Linked DNA regions of Xenopus tropicalis. The protein of the gene in region 1 purifies or fractionates together with the protein of each later gene. This does not show direct contact. Links are inferred from orthologs where the notes say so. Each region holds a gene or a part of one and is shown on either strand. Other genes may lie near its edges. The genes, in order: usp18, stat2, map3k7 and skp2.

Region 1 (3,631 bases):
CCCTCACCCCCAGCAGCCGATCAGCAGAACAATGGGAAGGGAGCAAGATAGCAGCTCCCAGTAGGTATCAGAATAGCACTCAATAGTAAGAAATCCAAGTCCGGCTTGGGACTCCTCCAGTTACATGGGAGTAGGAGAAACAATAGGTTAGCTGAAAGCAGTTCTAATGTGTAGCGCTGGCTGAAAGCTCAGACTCAGGCACACTTTACTGCTGCGCTGCAAGTTGGAGTGATATCCCCCCCCCTCACCCCCAGCAGCCGATCAGCAGAACAATGGGAAGGGAGCAAGATAGCAGCTCCCAGTAGGTATCAGAATAGCACTCAATAGTAAGAAATCCAAGTCCGGCTTGGGACTCCTCCAGTTACATGGGAGTAGGATAAACAACAGGTTCTAATGTGTAGCGCCGGCTCCTTCTGAAAGCTCAGACTCAGGCACACTTTACTGCTGCGCTGCAAGTTGGAGTGATATCCCACCCCCCTCACCCCCAGCAGCCGATCAGCAGAACAATGGGAAGGGAGCAAGATAGCAGCTCCCAGTAGGTATCAGAATAGCACTCAATAGTAAGAAATCCAAGTCCGGCTTGGGACTCCTCCAGTTACATGGGAGTAGGAGAAACAACAGGTTAGCTGAAAGCAGTTCTAATGTGTAGGGCTGGCTCCTTCTGAAAGCTCAGACTCAGGCACACTTTACTGCTGCGCTGCAAGTTGGAGTGATATCTAAACAAAACCTCCCTTCTTCTAAACGGAGTGGGTGCCCTCGTGCCCGTTGGAAGGACCTACTGGTAAATAAAACATTAGAAAGGTTATTATATGATCCCCTTGTATATTTATACATAGTTATCATGTATATCCTGTCCCCTTCTTCAGGCACAGAGGCTGAGGGCACTTTATGGCATCAAACTTAAAGAACACGTGACGTGCCACAAATGCTCCCATGAAAAGTCCAGTGACATGGAAGTCCTGACAATTCCGTTGCCAGTTCCCCACTCCAAATACCAAAGGCCTTTGCCCCTGGTGAGTACACACTAGGGCCACAGCGGCTACCTGCAGTTGCGCTTCAGTTGCGTTGGGATCTTCTTATCATTCCCTACGTTTTGCTTTTACCCAGCAACGAGCGCTCTGGAGGTTCTTTAAGCCGCACGAGATAAGTGAAGACAATTTCTGTCCGAAATGTGCCGAAAACACCGCAGGACAGAGGGTAACGCAAAGCCTTTCTTTATTATATGAAAAACAAGTCTTGACCATTAACTTGGCCATTAACTACTTGGGCATACATCGAAGTAACCGGCCACTCACCTGGTTGTTCAGCAAATTAAGTAGTGGTCAATGTGGACACTTAATGCTGAGAAAATGGTTGATATTTACCCAGATGATCAGAGGATGGGCTAGCCAAGGAGTTGGAGCAGCCAGGGGTGGCATATCTTGACCCATTAAGTGTTGAGTAGCCGCCCAATATGTCCATTAAAGTTCACAGATATATGCTGTGTGGGCATTGGTGTCCATATATATTATATATAAAAATCCACTTGCTGGTGGAGTAGATCTTCGCTCAATTTGGCCACCTAGGTGGCTGGTTCAATCAAGGGGATCTGATTCCAAGAAGGTCCTATGAGGACCACCACTACCCAATTTGTTTCTCTATTGGATCTTTTTCTACCTGATCCCCAGCTGGATATCGGGCGGCCAGGCTGTTTTGGCCCTGTACAGAGGCCAAAGGTCTTCAACGGGTCCACCTTTAGTTTTTGAGCCTTTAGTATTTGTTGGAAAGTCAGACAGCAAGATGTATAGGAGAGGGTCTAGGTCAAACCAGTCATGTTATCTCTACCATGGAAAGCTGAGATGCATCTCCACAGCCTACTTTGTTACTTTGGAGACTTTTGGCAAAACATGGCCCATACCATAATGCAACTAAGTTCCAGGTTGGAACAGTTTAAATCAAGGTGATCTGATGAGGACCACCACTACCCAATTTGTTTCTCTATTGGATCTTTTTCTACCTGATCCCCAGCTAGATATTTTGATCGGCCAGGCTGTTTTGGCCCTGTACAGAGGCCAAAGGTCTTCAACAGGTCCAAGGTATGGCCATCTTTAGTTTTTAAACCTTTAGTATTTGTTGGAAATTCAGACAGCAAGATGTATAGGAGAGGGTCTAGGTCAGTGATCCCCAACCAGTGGCTCCGGGCAACATGTTGCTCCCCAACCCCTTGGATGTTGCTCTCAGTGCCCCCAAACCAGGGAGTTATTTTTGAATTCCTGACTTGGGGGCAAGTTTTGGTTGAATAAAAACAAGATTCCCTACCAAATAAAGCCCCTGTAAGCTGATAGGTGCATAGAGGCTGCCTAATAGCCAATCACAGCCCTTATTTGGCTCCTCCATGAACTTTTATGGTGCTTGTGTTGCTCCCCAAGTCTTTTTACATTTGACTGTGGCTCAAGAGTAAGAAAGGTTGGGGATCCCTGGTCTAGGTCAAGCCATGTTATCTCTACCATAAATGGCCCAAATACAGAGTCTTGGAAAGCTGATGTCCCAAGTAGGAGATGTATCTTCACAACCTACATTGTTACTTTTGGCACAACATGGCCCATACCAGGTTGGAGAAGAGACTTCCACCAGTGAATACAATTCATGACCTAACACAGGGACCATAGAGATGTCTTGTACCTTAGCTTCCCTTCCTCCATACTTTGCAGGTTCTCCAGTTCTTCTCTCTACCTCAGACGCTGTCCATACATCTGAAACGTATTAGCAGAAGAAAGACCTCCGACGTACAGAAGATAAACAGAACGTTCTCTTTCCCTTGCACGCTGGACTTGAGTGATGTTCTGGATCAGGAGCAGTTCCCGGTACAAGAACATGCTCAGGTACAGCCGCTGGTACCAAAGAAAGGCATTAAGGACCTTCACCCAAGGTTTTCCACCTAAATGATGGATGTGCCAGCTGACCCCAGCTTCTAGCAGTTGGTTGTCATTGCAAACAGTCATTAAATAATATAATATAAAATGACTCGGGCCACTCTGGGGGTTGGACCATGAGGGACACAATCCAAAATACCACCATTTTGTTTTTCTTCCAGTCAGACTTCAAGTATAGACTTTTTGCTGTCATCGCCCACTCTGGAACGGCCAGCTTTGGCCACTATTGTGCCTACATCAATAGCTCAAAGGACCAGACGTGGTACAGCTTTAATGACTCCAGCGTTTGCAAGGTGAGAGAGATGGTGTTACCCAAATGGCACAAACTAAAGGCAACGCCCATGTAATGATCTGGGTGGTGCCGGGGGCGGGTTCTGTTTGATCGATGGACAACATTATATACTTTGTGTATGTATTATAGGTATCCTGGGATGATGTGAAATGCACCTATGGAAACATGGACTTTCACTTGTAAGTACGAGGAGAAAAAGGGTCTTCCCAACCTATAGCTCCCTAATAAACTAGGCAAAATTCAATTTTTGGTTTTACTTCCCCTTTAAATTTACACGAATCTTTCTGATATTTCCTTTCAGCAGTGCTACAGCCTGTCTGCTGGTCTATCTACAGGGAGATGGGAACTAGAGACGCCAACGCCGCAGGACGACGGACACAGTCCATATTATTTCAATACACGTGGAACCCACCCGGTATGACCCTGG
Region 2 (3,631 bases), on another chromosome or scaffold:
GTTACACACTTTTTTCCACTGTATTTACTTTTGTGATATTACCTTCCATGAGAATGGTGTGAGCACGCTAGCACCTGTACCTGACAGATGAATTTTGATATTAGCTAGTCCTAGCTCATTGCTGTTGGAGCAAGGTAATAGTGACTAATCTCCCCGTGTGCCAGAGCCCTTATTCAGCATAAATGTCATCAAGAATACAGGCTCACACAGGCAGAACTGTCTTTGCTAAAAGTTCTGCTTTGTTTGAGCACTGTAATGGTTAAACTAAGCTCAGGAGAGGAGGTTAGGAGAGCTAGAGCTGAATTTCTACCAGCAATGCCATCTCTTCATTGGTTGCTAAAATGGGGGGTGTGTTTAGTAATCTGAGCTGAAAAAAACTGACCATGTCTGGCAAGCCAGAAATCAAAGCAAATTCCAGAGGGGGGAGGGGGGGGCAGTGGGTTACAGGAGGAGAAGGAAAGTGATTAAGGAGATGCTGCAGCCTTACTATTAACCTCTGGACAACCAGTGTGGCAGGCATTGAAAGATTTCAAAGAGGCTGTTCACTGATTATATTTTTGTGTACGGGGTTTACATGTCCATTAACTTCAGCTGACTAAAGTTAAAAATGTATTTGCAGTGGTCAGTTCTTTAAAATGTATCAATAAGTTAATTTCCTGGTGCAGGAGAAGCCCAGGATTCCTGCCAAACATACCCTGGGAGATTGGGATTGCTTTGCATTACCATACAAAAAGCCCTTTTATATGCCTGATCACTGGCTAAGTTCTTGTTTGGTACCCTTACAGCAAGGTCACACCCCGATGACAAACATTTAAAGAAGAAAAGAGATGAACTGCAGAGTCTGTTAAATGAACTGGACAGGAAGCGCAAGGTCAGTTTTATAGGATAATGTTGTTTATGCATGTGTTGTGTTGTATTATCAGCACGGGGATTATTTAGAAAGTATTTGTCATTACAAACACAGCTTATTTTAGAACACGTCTAAACCTTAGATTTATGACCTATCTCACAAATGATTCATTTGCTGTTTTACAAGGGTATGCATTTTACTATAATGCAGACAATGATATTCTGAGATAATCTGCAATTGGTCTTAATTTTTAACTTTTTGTGGTTTTGCAATTATTTTGCTTTTTGTTCAGCAGCTCTCCCGTTTGGAATTGTAGGGTCAAATTTACTCTAGCAACCAAGCACTGGTTAAAATGAGCTTCTGAATAAGTGGCTAAGGGCCATGGAATGCGTCAAGCCAAGCTGGTGATACTTTGGGGTGAAGCCTATTATGTTTCTTTTTGGTTTTTTTTTGCCACATTATGTTTACTTTTAACCTTACTGGCTGGTGCTCCATGCCAAGGACTGATATTCTGGTTGAAATGAGAGCCTGGGAGATAAATAGGAGAAGTCAAAATTGAAAGATAAGTAATAAAAGGAACAATGAAACTGTAGCCTCATGGCACAAAAGCTTTTTGGCAGGGGTCAGTGACCCCCCCCCCCCTCCATTTGAAAGCTGGAAGATGCAGAAGAGGAAGGCAAATAGCTAAAAGAAACTATTAAAAAAATAAACAAATAAAATGAAGACAAATTGAGACGTTGCTATGAATTGGACATTCTGTAACAAACTAAAAGTAAAACAAAGGGATTCTGTCATGATTTTTGTAATGTAGTTTTTATTTCTAAATTACACTGTTTAAATAGCAAATAATTCTCTCTACCATTTAAAATTTGATGGGGGAGATGTGCCCAACTTATATACATGGTAGAAAAATAAAGGGTTTATGTGTTCTTTAACAAACAAAAGGAATTCTGGGAACGAATTCCAGACTCTTAAAAAAAATCCCATTTACATGGGTTTATCCTATAGGCTACAGCTCACCCACTGGGTTTGAAGCTGAAGTCAGGACAATAGCTGATCAGATTCCCAACTACAGACCAGTTTCGCCCTTATTGGGGGCTCATCAGTGTAGTGTAGGGTTTTCTGATCAGCTTAGGTAGAGTCACCATGTGGTTCTACAAACAAATAAATAAGGTTGAGGAGACTGCCTCACACAGACAAAAGCAAACAAAAGGAATTCTGGGAACGAATTCCAGACTCTTAAAAAAATCCCATTTACATGTTCTTTAAGATAGCTGTTGAGACTTTGGCTTTCTGCCATCCCGCCGGCGACTTACATGTTCGCCGGTGGGATGGCAGGGGTAGGCAACTCGGGGAGATTAGTCGCCCGCGAACAGGGAGTTTTATCGCGGGCGACTAATCTCCCCCGTGTGCCAGAGCCCTTAGAAGTTAATAGCCCCCACATAAGAACATGCTAAAGGCACTTTCTCCATCTCCCAGATATTACAAACACACGGGTAATGACCCGGACACTCTATTCTGCTAATTTCTGAGTAGCCACACGACTACTTTTGTTCCCCTAATTTAACTAAATTAAAATGAAACATTCACTGAAATTGTGCCTCCTAGTGGGCTAAAACATAATTTGGTACTGAAGTTCACCCTCTCTGGCTACTATAGTTTAGCCCTCAAGTGAAAGGAAGGCAACAATAATTTGTGCCACACATGCACATTATTATTATTATTATTAACATTTATTTATAAAGCGCCAACATATTCCGCAGCGCTGTACAATAAGTGGGTTTTATACACTGGACACATTCTCTACTGTTCTTTCTCTGCTCAGCTGCTCATGTAGGCTATACCTTAAAAATATTCTTTTTACCCCCAGGAGGTTTTGGATCAAATAAAGGGCCTGCTTGGGTTGTGTGAGACACTTGTCGAATTCCTGCAGCAGGAATTAGATGAGTGGCTGTTAAAGCAAAAACTGGAATGTATTGGAGCCCCCACAGAAACATCTCTCAAGAATCTTCAGGGCTGGTGAGTAGAGAAAGCTTAATTCCACCAATTCATTTCACCTCATTACTGATCTGGGATTAAGTAAAACTCAAATGTATGGATTTCAGCCCAAACCAGTCAGTGAAGCTTCAAGATAGATCAAATAGGACGTGATCTGCTTTTCTCTGCCTGTGTACATCGTGTACCCTTAGCCTTACAGATCAATTGTTTTTTGGTTGCCAGGGTCAGCGACCCCATTGTGAAAGCTGAAAAGGGGCAGAAGAAGAAAGCAGATGATTAAAAAACTATAAAAAATGAAAGGCAATTAAAAAAGAATAGAACTTTTTATAACATACTAAAAGTTAACCTAACTTTAATCTTTTTAGGAAGGGATTACATACAAGGTTATTGATAGTAATGCTCTTAGTACAATGTTTCCATTAGCACAACTATAAATTAGGAAGGGATAACATACAACATGCCTTTAAGAGGGGCTCGGATGAGTTCTTGAACAAGCATAATATCCAAGCCTATTGTGATACTAATATCTACAGTTTGTATTGATGTTGGTATATATGGTTTATGTATGTGAGTGTATAGATAGGTCAGTATGGGTCTGTATGTGAGTGTATAGATAGGTCAGTATGGGTCTGTATGTGAGTGTATAGATAGGTCAGTATGGGTCTGTATGTGAGTGTATAGATAGGTCAGTATGGGTCTGTATGTGAGTGTATAGATAGGTCAGTATGGGTCTGTATGTGAGGGTATAGATAGGTCAGTATGGGTCTGTATGTGAGTGGATAG
Region 3 (4,198 bases), on another chromosome or scaffold:
ATAAAAGTCTGCTGGGCTGCCAGGAAGGAATCAGTCCTCTGTGGTATCTCTAGTGTGTGTCCCCTGCTGTGAACAGGTATTGTTCGTTTGCCTGCTACGTGGGAGCAGCCACCTTTATAAAGGGAAGGTACTCTGGGGCAGGTAGCGCTACCTGGGGGGACTAAAGAGCTCTTGGGGAAGGGACTGAACTAACCTAAGGGTTGTGGTTTATCCGGATCCAAGTGGGGATTGGGCATCTATAGAGACTGTCGGTGCCAGCTGTGGATAAACTACATGGGTTCCTCAGAGCAGGAAAATCAGTTGTACATAAAGTGTTAACTTCCAACTCCAACAGTTATATAAAGTTTAACATTTCTGCCAAACCTGTGTGTGATTATTTCCTAGTGGAAATCCCCTAGAGGTGTGTTCCTCAGTGTCCACTAGGTGGAGGCACTGCGCTGTTCCCAGTTCCCAGTATCAATATTCTTTGAGAACACACATCTCCTGAAAATACAGCCATATATAAGTGAATGTGCCAAGAAAGGGTTACACATACATACCTGTTCTCACCAGGGGACACACACGGAGATTCCACAGAGGACTTTGTAATCCCTGGCAGCCCTGCAGACTCTTCTTTTTTCAGTCTCAACTCACAACATGTGGTACGGGCTGCTCACTCTATATCTCTCCTCCAAAAACTGGCAAAACACCTTTATCAACTGCTGCCCCCCCCTTGATTTTTGGCTCCAAACTGGGGCATCCAGCCAGCACTTGCCTGAGGCTGGAGATCTCCCTATAAAGTTAAAGGGAAAACCCAGCTTCTGCACAATTGTGTCAGATTTGTGACAAAATGTGCATACAGTTGTGGGAATTTTGTCACATCAAATGTAGTTGTGTAGGCGCAATAGTGATTGCAATTCAGTGGAAAAGGCTGCATTGTGGGGAAAAAATGCACTCAGAATTCCACTTTGTTTACTGCACTTGCCTATAAGAGTATATTTCTATACTTTCACTATTGGTTATAAATTAAGAGCAGGCACTGAGAAATGATTTCTGGAAGTTTTAAAAACCTAACAACACTTCCAGAGACAATTTATTTCGGAGGGCAGATAGTACCGTCATATAAGACAGCAAAACGTAAACAAAACAGCAGAGCAAAAAAAAAAAAGACTATATTGTAGAAAGAATTTTCATTTTGTCATGTCAATAAAGTTGTATAAAAAAACTATCTTTCCGAACACGCCTCACTTTGCTTCTGTGCAAGACGACATCACGAAGCCCCGCCCTGCTTTCGCCGCCGCTCTGCATTAGGCCTGCGCTTCTTCGCCTCTACCTGTATGGTCGGATCGGAAGTTGGCCAGCGCATCAGCGGCTACAGTAGTAGCAAGAGAGCCCTCCCCTCTTCCACCACAGGCCCTGGCTCCAAGCAGGCTAGGCCCAGCAGCCCAGAAGGGGGTTACCTGGTCCTTGATGGGCCGGGGCCGCCCGTCACGTACAAGTATTACGGTGGCTCCTGTTAAACCCGCTCTGTTTTCCCCAGCTGTGTACCCCGGCTTCCGCCGGTGGGGTCCCCGATTTCTCTTGTAAGGGCACGGCATGTCTGCCGCCTCTGCTGACATGATTGAGACTCCACCGGTGCTAAACTTTGAGGAGATCGACTACAAGGAGATAGAGGTGGAAGAGGTGAGCCTGCGGGGTGACACGGGCAAATGGGCTAAAGGCAGATCTCCAACCTGCAGCTTTTCATTAACATATAACTTCTAGCAGTTGCTGCCAGTAGTTGCACTTTACTGACCGCAGGTTGGACTTTCCCCGCTTATTGTTTGTAAATATTTAGTCCTATTCATTCTTTGCCAGAGAAAGTTCTATGGAGACAAATCTAGTAGTAAAGACACCCTTAAAGGGGAAGTTCACTTGTAAAGCAGCTATTAGGTTTTTCCTGGCTGGCCTATTCTCGGCAACTATTCAATTGATTATTTCTAATTTATATGTTTTATGGTTTTTTTTAATGATTCCCCCTCCTATCATTGCCATTTTACATGTTGCAATTTGAAAATGTCAGTTTTTTGGGGGACACTGTCCCTCCCCCAATTATATAGCTGATACTTGTCTTTGGCTTGTCTTTGTTTAGAGTTTCTTTCCTTTTCATCTTTCTGACTTTCCAACCACTGCCTGGTTCAAGGTAAACATTCTAAGTTGGATAGCTGCAGAGCAAAATGTGAAATAATTAAAAAAAAACAAAAAAACAAAAGAAATAACTAAAGAACAGTAGCAAACTGTCATAACATTCAGGTGAATTGCTTCTTGAAAGACTGCGTTTGTCCCAGACAACATATCTGTACATTTGCCGCTGATATGAGGCATCAGAGGTGACAGGTAGCCCATCCATTTTTTGTATGATTTATTTCATATATTTCCCAATGGCTTGCACATTCCATGCATCTCCATAGTGGTACAAACTTTGCTTGGAAACCTCTTTTTCTATTGGTTTCATCTGTAATATTAATGCGATAGCAAAACAGATTAATTCATAGTTTGTCAAAGAATTTTGTTTTTAAATTATCAGAAAACACAATGAAAAGACACTTGTGAAGCACCAGTTTTATGTAGTTGTTTTTATTCTTACCGCTGATGCATGTGTTTGAAGTATGACCATATTTATAGCCAAAAATATTGGGTAGGCATGTTTTCTGGTTGTAGTCACATGGGTGTCGTGCCGTACTCATGGTGATTCCTGTTGAATGTAAAGGGGAAGTGATGTTCCTCTAAATTATGTTAATTTACCCCAAATCTTGTCACATTAGTCTTATTGACGTTTTGCTTTTGTGTATATGCCATTTTCAAGCAAAGGCCAATTGGATATTCTTACGGTGGCCATGCACGAGTAGATTTTAGCTGCAGATTCGGGTCCTTTAGAATGATTCAGCAGCTTATCTGCCCATGTATGGGCACGCCTGCCAGGCCTACCTGACTACATCGTCAGATCCGCCACACACCCATCAGAGCTGAAACAGCAGATAAGGAGGAAGAAACAATAGGATTTCTACCTCCTTCTGCCGATTCAGCCCTGACGGCAGATTTTGGTCAGGCGCCTTCTATGGCGCCCGATCAAATTTTTTTAACCGGTCCGATCGGCGAGTCGACCGATATTAGCAGTTTCCTGCGATATTGGTCGACTCGCCGACATGCCATACACGCACTGAATATAGTACGAAAAGAGGTTTCGTACGATAGTATCGGTGCGTGTATGGCCAGCTTTAGATCTGCCCTAAAATTAACCAGATCTTGGTCAGATAGGTTTGATTTTATGACTTATAAGGGACTGCATCATTTGGTCCAAACTTGCCCACCTAACGAGAAGATCCACTCGTTTGGCGAACTCTCCAAACAAGCAGATCTTAAAGTGTGTGGCTGCCTCAACTCAACATTGTGAAAGTTCATCAATCTGGAATCGGTGAAGGATTGTTGTCTGATCCAAATTCCCTTGTACAGGAACATGCAGTATATTTTCCTGTAGAACCATGGGACTTGATAGCATAGGTTAGGTTTAATGAAACCATCAGGGTGAAGACAGACAGAGAAACTAGTCGCTGCGATTTTAAAAATCCAGTCTAGGTGACTTATTGGCCGCCACAAAAGTCTTGGATTTCTTACTGTTGCATGCTATTATGATATCTACTGGGAGCTGATATCTTGCTCCCTTCCCATTGTTCTGCTGATTGACTGCTGTGGGAGATTAATATCGCTCCAACTTGCAGTGCAGCAGTAAAGTGTGATTGAAGTTTTTCAGAGCACAGGTGACATGGCTGTGGCACCCTGGGAAATGAAGGATATGGCTAGCCCCATGTGAAATTTCAAAATTAAATATAAAAATCTGTGTATTTGAAAAATGGATTTTAATGCAGGATTCTGCTTCTCTCTGGAGAAGCTCCATTAACTCATGTGTTTTGGAAAAAAAAACATGGTTTTCCATGACAGTATCCCTTTTAAGGTGCATTTTGCTGGCAGTGCCTCTTCTCATTCTATGTACTGTTAGGGCAAAGACACACGGAGCTGCTTAGTAGCAGCTACTTGCGACGGCTAGAAAACTCCAGAAAATACCCTGCCACAGACAAAACTTGAGAATTGCCTCTACACATGTAGAGACAATTACCAGTAAATGATCAGCATTGTCAATTTTTGTAGCCATGACAACTAGCTGCTACAGGTATGGGATCCC
Region 4 (4,249 bases), on another chromosome or scaffold:
TTTCAACATTGATCAAAAGGCTGCTCTTTCTACCACTCCCTACTATACCTGCTATCCCACAGCCCCAGTCCCTTCCCAGAGGCTATTATCCCCCACTGCTACTATAGGCACCATCTCTCCCTACTATACCTGCTATCCCACAGCCCCAGTCCCTTCCCAGAGGCTATTATCCCCCCACTGCTACTATAGGCACCATCTCTCCCTACTATACCTGCTATCCTACAGCCCCAGTCCCTTCCCAGAGGCTATTATCCCCCCACTGCTACTATAGGCACAATCTACCCCTACTATACCTGCTATCCCACAGCCCCAGTCCCTTCCCAGAGGCTATTATCCCCCCACTGCTACTATAGGCACCATCTCTCCCTACTATACCTGATATCCCACAGCCCCAGTCCCTTCCCAGAGGCTATTATCCCCCCACTGCTACTATAGGCACAATCTACCCCTACTATACCTGCTATCCCACAGCCCCAGTCCCTTCCCAGAGGCTATTATCCCACTGCTACTATAGGCACCATCTCTCCCTACTATACCTGCTATCCCACAGCCCCAGTCCCTTCCCAGAGGCTATTATCCCACTGCTACTATAGGCACCATCTCTCCCTACTATACCTGCTATCCCACAGCCCCAGTCCCTTCCCAGAGGCTATTATCCCCCCACTGCTACTATAGGCACCATCTCTCCCTACTATACCTGCTATCCCACAGCCCCAGTCCCTTCCCAGAGGCTATTATCCCCCACTGCTACTATAGGCACCATCTCTCCCTACTATACCTGCTATCCCACAGCCCCAGTCCCTTCCCAGGGGCTATTATCCCCCCACTGCTACTATAGGCACCATCTCTCCCTACTATACCTGCTATCCCACAGCCCCAGTCCCTTCCCAGAGGCTATTATCCCCCCACTGCTACTATAGGCACCATCTCTCCCTACTATACCTGCTATCCCACAGCCCCAGTCCCTTCCCAGAGGCTATTATCCCCCCACTGCTACTATAGGCACCATCTCTCCCTACTATACCTGCTATCCCACAGCCCCAGTCCCTTCCCGGAGGCTATTATCCCCCCACTGCTACTATAGGCACCATCTCTCCCTACTATACCTGCTATCCCACAGCCCCAGTCCCTTCCCAGAGGCTATTATCTCACTGCTACTATAGGCACCATCTCTCCTTACTATACCTGCTATCCCACAGCCCCAGTCCCTTCCCAGAGGCTATTATCCCACTGCTACTATAGGCACCATCTCTCCCTACTATCCCACAGCCCCTTAAATTGTGTTATTTCCATTGCTGCTCCCCTACAGAAAAGTATTCCTGCGCCTCCCAAGCTGGCTATAATGCGGCAGACAGCGCATGCGTAGAGGCGTAGAGGTGCGGCGCAGGCGCAGAGTGACGCGCATAGTGACGCAGGAGGCGGCAGTAGGGGAGCGGGAAGGTTACAAGTGCACAAAGTGGCGCGCTGATGGCTGTACACAGGTAAATGGGGCAGCGGGAATGGTTTGTGTGTTTTTGCGCTCAGTGTTATGGCTCAGAGCTCCCAGGCAGCTCTCCTTGCTGTAAAACCCACACACTGACCTGGGCACAATACTTCGGCTTTAGGATAGGAACTTATTGGCGCTCCAGCTGTTTAAATAGCTACAAGTGCTCGCAGCCGCTAGTGCTGCTGGGAATTGTAGTCTGTATACGAGTGTTAATTTTGCCTTCACTTACAGAGGAATATTCTCCTGCTTGTGGTTAGATTGGGTGTAGTTGCCTTTGTGTACCCAAGCCTCTCTGCCAGCTTTTAGCGCTTGGCCTTAACTGTGGGTGCCAACAGCGCCCAATTGCCGAGGGCACCCTACTTTTTATCCTGCTGCCAGGGTTATTTTGCCTTTCTCCCTTGGAGACTGAGCAGCTGCACAGATGTTAGTGTTCTATGGCCACAATACAACTCACACTGTGGGGGGAGCCTGTGCCTGGGGCCCCTCCCTCATTAGGGCCCCACAACATACACAAAGGGCATGTTATTACATTTAACTGTTGATGGGTATATTTAATTGTAAAGATCAGGATTGCCCAACCTGCAGTTGGTGTACATTCCCCAGCACCCTGTGACAGTCTTTGTCTGTAGGGGGGATGCTGGGAGTTGTATGTTTAACCCTCACATGGCTCACATCGGCTGCACATGGGGGGTCGGTGACCCCCATTTGAAAGCTTAAGAGGCAGAAGAGGAAGGCGAATAATTCAAAAACTATATATAAAAAAAAATAATATATAATGAATATATAATAGAATGACCAATTAAAAAGCTGCTTAGAACTGGCCATTCTATAACACACTAAAAGTTCGGTTAACTTTTAGTATTCAAGTAATATGAGACAAGTCACAATTTGTCTTTTTTTAGTTGTGGTTTTACATTATTTTACTTTTTGTTGAGCAACTTTCAAGTTTGGAATTTCAGCAGCTATCTGGTTGCTAGGGTTCAGAGTACCTTAGCAACCAGGGGGTCATTTGAATGAGACACTGGAATATGAATATGAAAGGGTCTGAAATAAAAAGATAAGTAATAATATCAATAAAACTGTAGCCTCACAGAGCATTAGGTTTTTGATTGCCGGGGTCAATGTCCCCCATTTGATATCTGGAAAGAGGCAAAAAAGGAGGGCAAATAAAAAAAAAATAAATAAAAAAGACCAACTGAAAAGTTGCTTAGAATTAGCCAATCTATAACATACTAAAATGTAATGTAAAGGTGGTTTGCATTTAAATTAATTTTTAATATGACATAGACGGTGATATTTTAAAACAATTTTCAGTTGGTTTTATTTATTTATTTTTTTGTAGTTTTTCAGTTATGTCGCTTTTTGTTCATCAACTCTCCAGTTTGGAATTTCAGCAGCTATCTGGTTGCTAGATTCTTGTTTACCGTAGCAACCATAAAATTGTAAGATCACAGAGCAATAGTTTTTTGGCTGCCAGTGACCCCCATTTGAAAGCTGGAAAGGTGTTCAAGTGGAAGGCAAATAATTTGAAATCTGTTAATAAAAAATATATATAATGGTGATCAGTCGCAAAGTTGCTAGGAATAGGACATTCTATAACATACTAAAGGTTAACGTAAAGGTGACCCACCCCTTTAAGAGTTGTGTGAACAGGAAAGATGTAGTTTTGGGCCTTTCCTGTTCAACATGACAGGTGGTGTGGGGGTAAAATTAATGTGGTTTGAGTCCTTTGGGGCACCGCCCACTGTCGGGGGAGTTGGGGATGATGATAAAGGTTATGGGATGGGACTGCTGAATATGAATCATTATACAGAAGCCCTTAGTACTGACACATTGACCAGTAATGTATAAAACGGACTGCTTTGCCTTATAAATATGGCAGATGGTATAACTCTCTCGTTCTCTGTTGCAGGAAACACCTCCAGGAGATCCCTGCTCCCAGCAGGAACGCGTCCAACCTCATGTGGTGCTGGGACTCCAACAAGCCTTCAGACCTTTTCTATGGCATGGGGGTGACTCCTATGGAGAAGGATTTGCAAGACACAGAAAATACCCCTCAGGACTATATAGTAAAGGCCAGTCCCCCACAGAAACGCCCGAGGCCGAAGGAACGGGATGAATGCTTTGTCATTGCACGGCGGCCCCGGGTGGCCAGACCTGCTCAGACAGGTACGGAGCTCGTGTCAAAAAAAGAGGGTATATTTGCCCTTTAAAACTATGGCTTCCAACAAACATCACCCTAATGCTTGGGGCAGTTGGGCAGGTTTCATTTAGATAAAGAGGAGGGACATGCGTCTTTTTTGCAACCTAAATTACTATAAGTTTAAACCCTATTGCCCTGCAGCATAACCCTCCTCCTATTCTTCCAAGGCATAGAATATGCAGGGGGGCCATGCTTTATTTACATACAAGGCTCAGAGGTGGGGGTTGGTTGGTTAAATAGAGACAACCCTGAGGATCCAGGAGGTTCAGTTAAAGCTGCAGTAAGGGTTGTTAGTAAGGGTATAGGGCTACTTGGCATTAGAATTGGCACAGTAACCCTGCTCCATAAGAACAGTGGCTTTTTCATGCTGCTGCTACTTGTAGCACCAAGTTCTTGGCCGACCCAAAGTCCTTTGCACCCCAATGGCAAGCAAAGGCCGTTGCATCACTGCTATAAACAGGAGACACCCCAGAATGCCACAGCCCTAATACTAATAATGAAATATTTATCCTGGATTTTAGTTGCCCTTTGTCTTAAATCTTATAAACTTACTTTCCATG

What was found.
Region 2: the proteins of usp18 (region 1) and stat2 purify together in Homo sapiens (affinity purification with western blotting; 6 studies listed by BioGRID and IntAct, with this or other methods). This does not show direct contact. The link is inferred for Xenopus tropicalis from reciprocal best matches to the Homo sapiens genes USP18 and STAT2.
Region 3: the proteins of usp18 (region 1) and map3k7 purify together in Homo sapiens (affinity purification with western blotting; 4 studies listed by BioGRID, with this or other methods). This does not show direct contact. The link is inferred for Xenopus tropicalis from reciprocal best matches to the Homo sapiens genes USP18 and MAP3K7.
Region 4: the proteins of usp18 (region 1) and skp2 purify together in Homo sapiens (affinity purification with western blotting; 4 studies listed by BioGRID and IntAct, with this or other methods). This does not show direct contact. The link is inferred for Xenopus tropicalis from reciprocal best matches to the Homo sapiens genes USP18 and SKP2.

Annotation. Positions count from the first base shown.
Region 1 is NC_030679.2:8,493,655-8,497,285, forward strand, and holds part of usp18 (ubl carboxyl-terminal hydrolase 18), read left to right. Parts: intron 1-866; coding exon 867-1,013; intron 1,014-1,107; coding exon 1,108-1,197; intron 1,198-2,690; coding exon 2,691-2,861; intron 2,862-3,073; coding exon 3,074-3,205; intron 3,206-3,333; coding exon 3,334-3,383; intron 3,384-3,505; coding exon 3,506-3,554; 3' UTR 3,555-3,631. UniProt on the Homo sapiens protein: Interferon-induced ISG15-specific protease that plays a crucial role for maintaining a proper balance of ISG15-conjugated proteins in cells. Regulates protein ISGylation by efficiently cleaving ISG15 conjugates linked via isopeptide bonds.
Region 2 is NC_030678.2:138,441,506-138,445,136, reverse strand, and holds part of stat2 (signal transducer and activator of transcription 2), read left to right. Parts: intron 1-785; coding exon 786-871; intron 872-2,720; coding exon 2,721-2,869; intron 2,870-3,631. UniProt on the Homo sapiens protein: Signal transducer and activator of transcription that mediates signaling by type I interferons (IFN-alpha and IFN-beta).
Region 3 is NC_030681.2:84,978,641-84,982,838, forward strand, and holds the start of map3k7 (mitogen-activated protein kinase kinase kinase 7), read left to right. Parts: upstream 1-1,347; 5' UTR 1,348-1,575; coding exon 1,576-1,662; intron 1,663-4,198. UniProt on the Homo sapiens protein: Serine/threonine kinase which acts as an essential component of the MAP kinase signal transduction pathway. Plays an important role in the cascades of cellular responses evoked by changes in the environment.
Region 4 is NC_030677.2:198,003,808-198,008,056, forward strand, and holds the start of skp2 (S-phase kinase-associated protein 2), read left to right. Parts: upstream 1-1,412; 5' UTR 1,413-1,467; coding exon 1,468-1,481; intron 1,482-3,398; coding exon 3,399-3,655; intron 3,656-4,249. UniProt on the Homo sapiens protein: Substrate recognition component of a SCF (SKP1-CUL1-F-box protein) E3 ubiquitin-protein ligase complex which mediates the ubiquitination and subsequent proteasomal degradation of target proteins involved in cell cycle progression, signal transduction and transcription.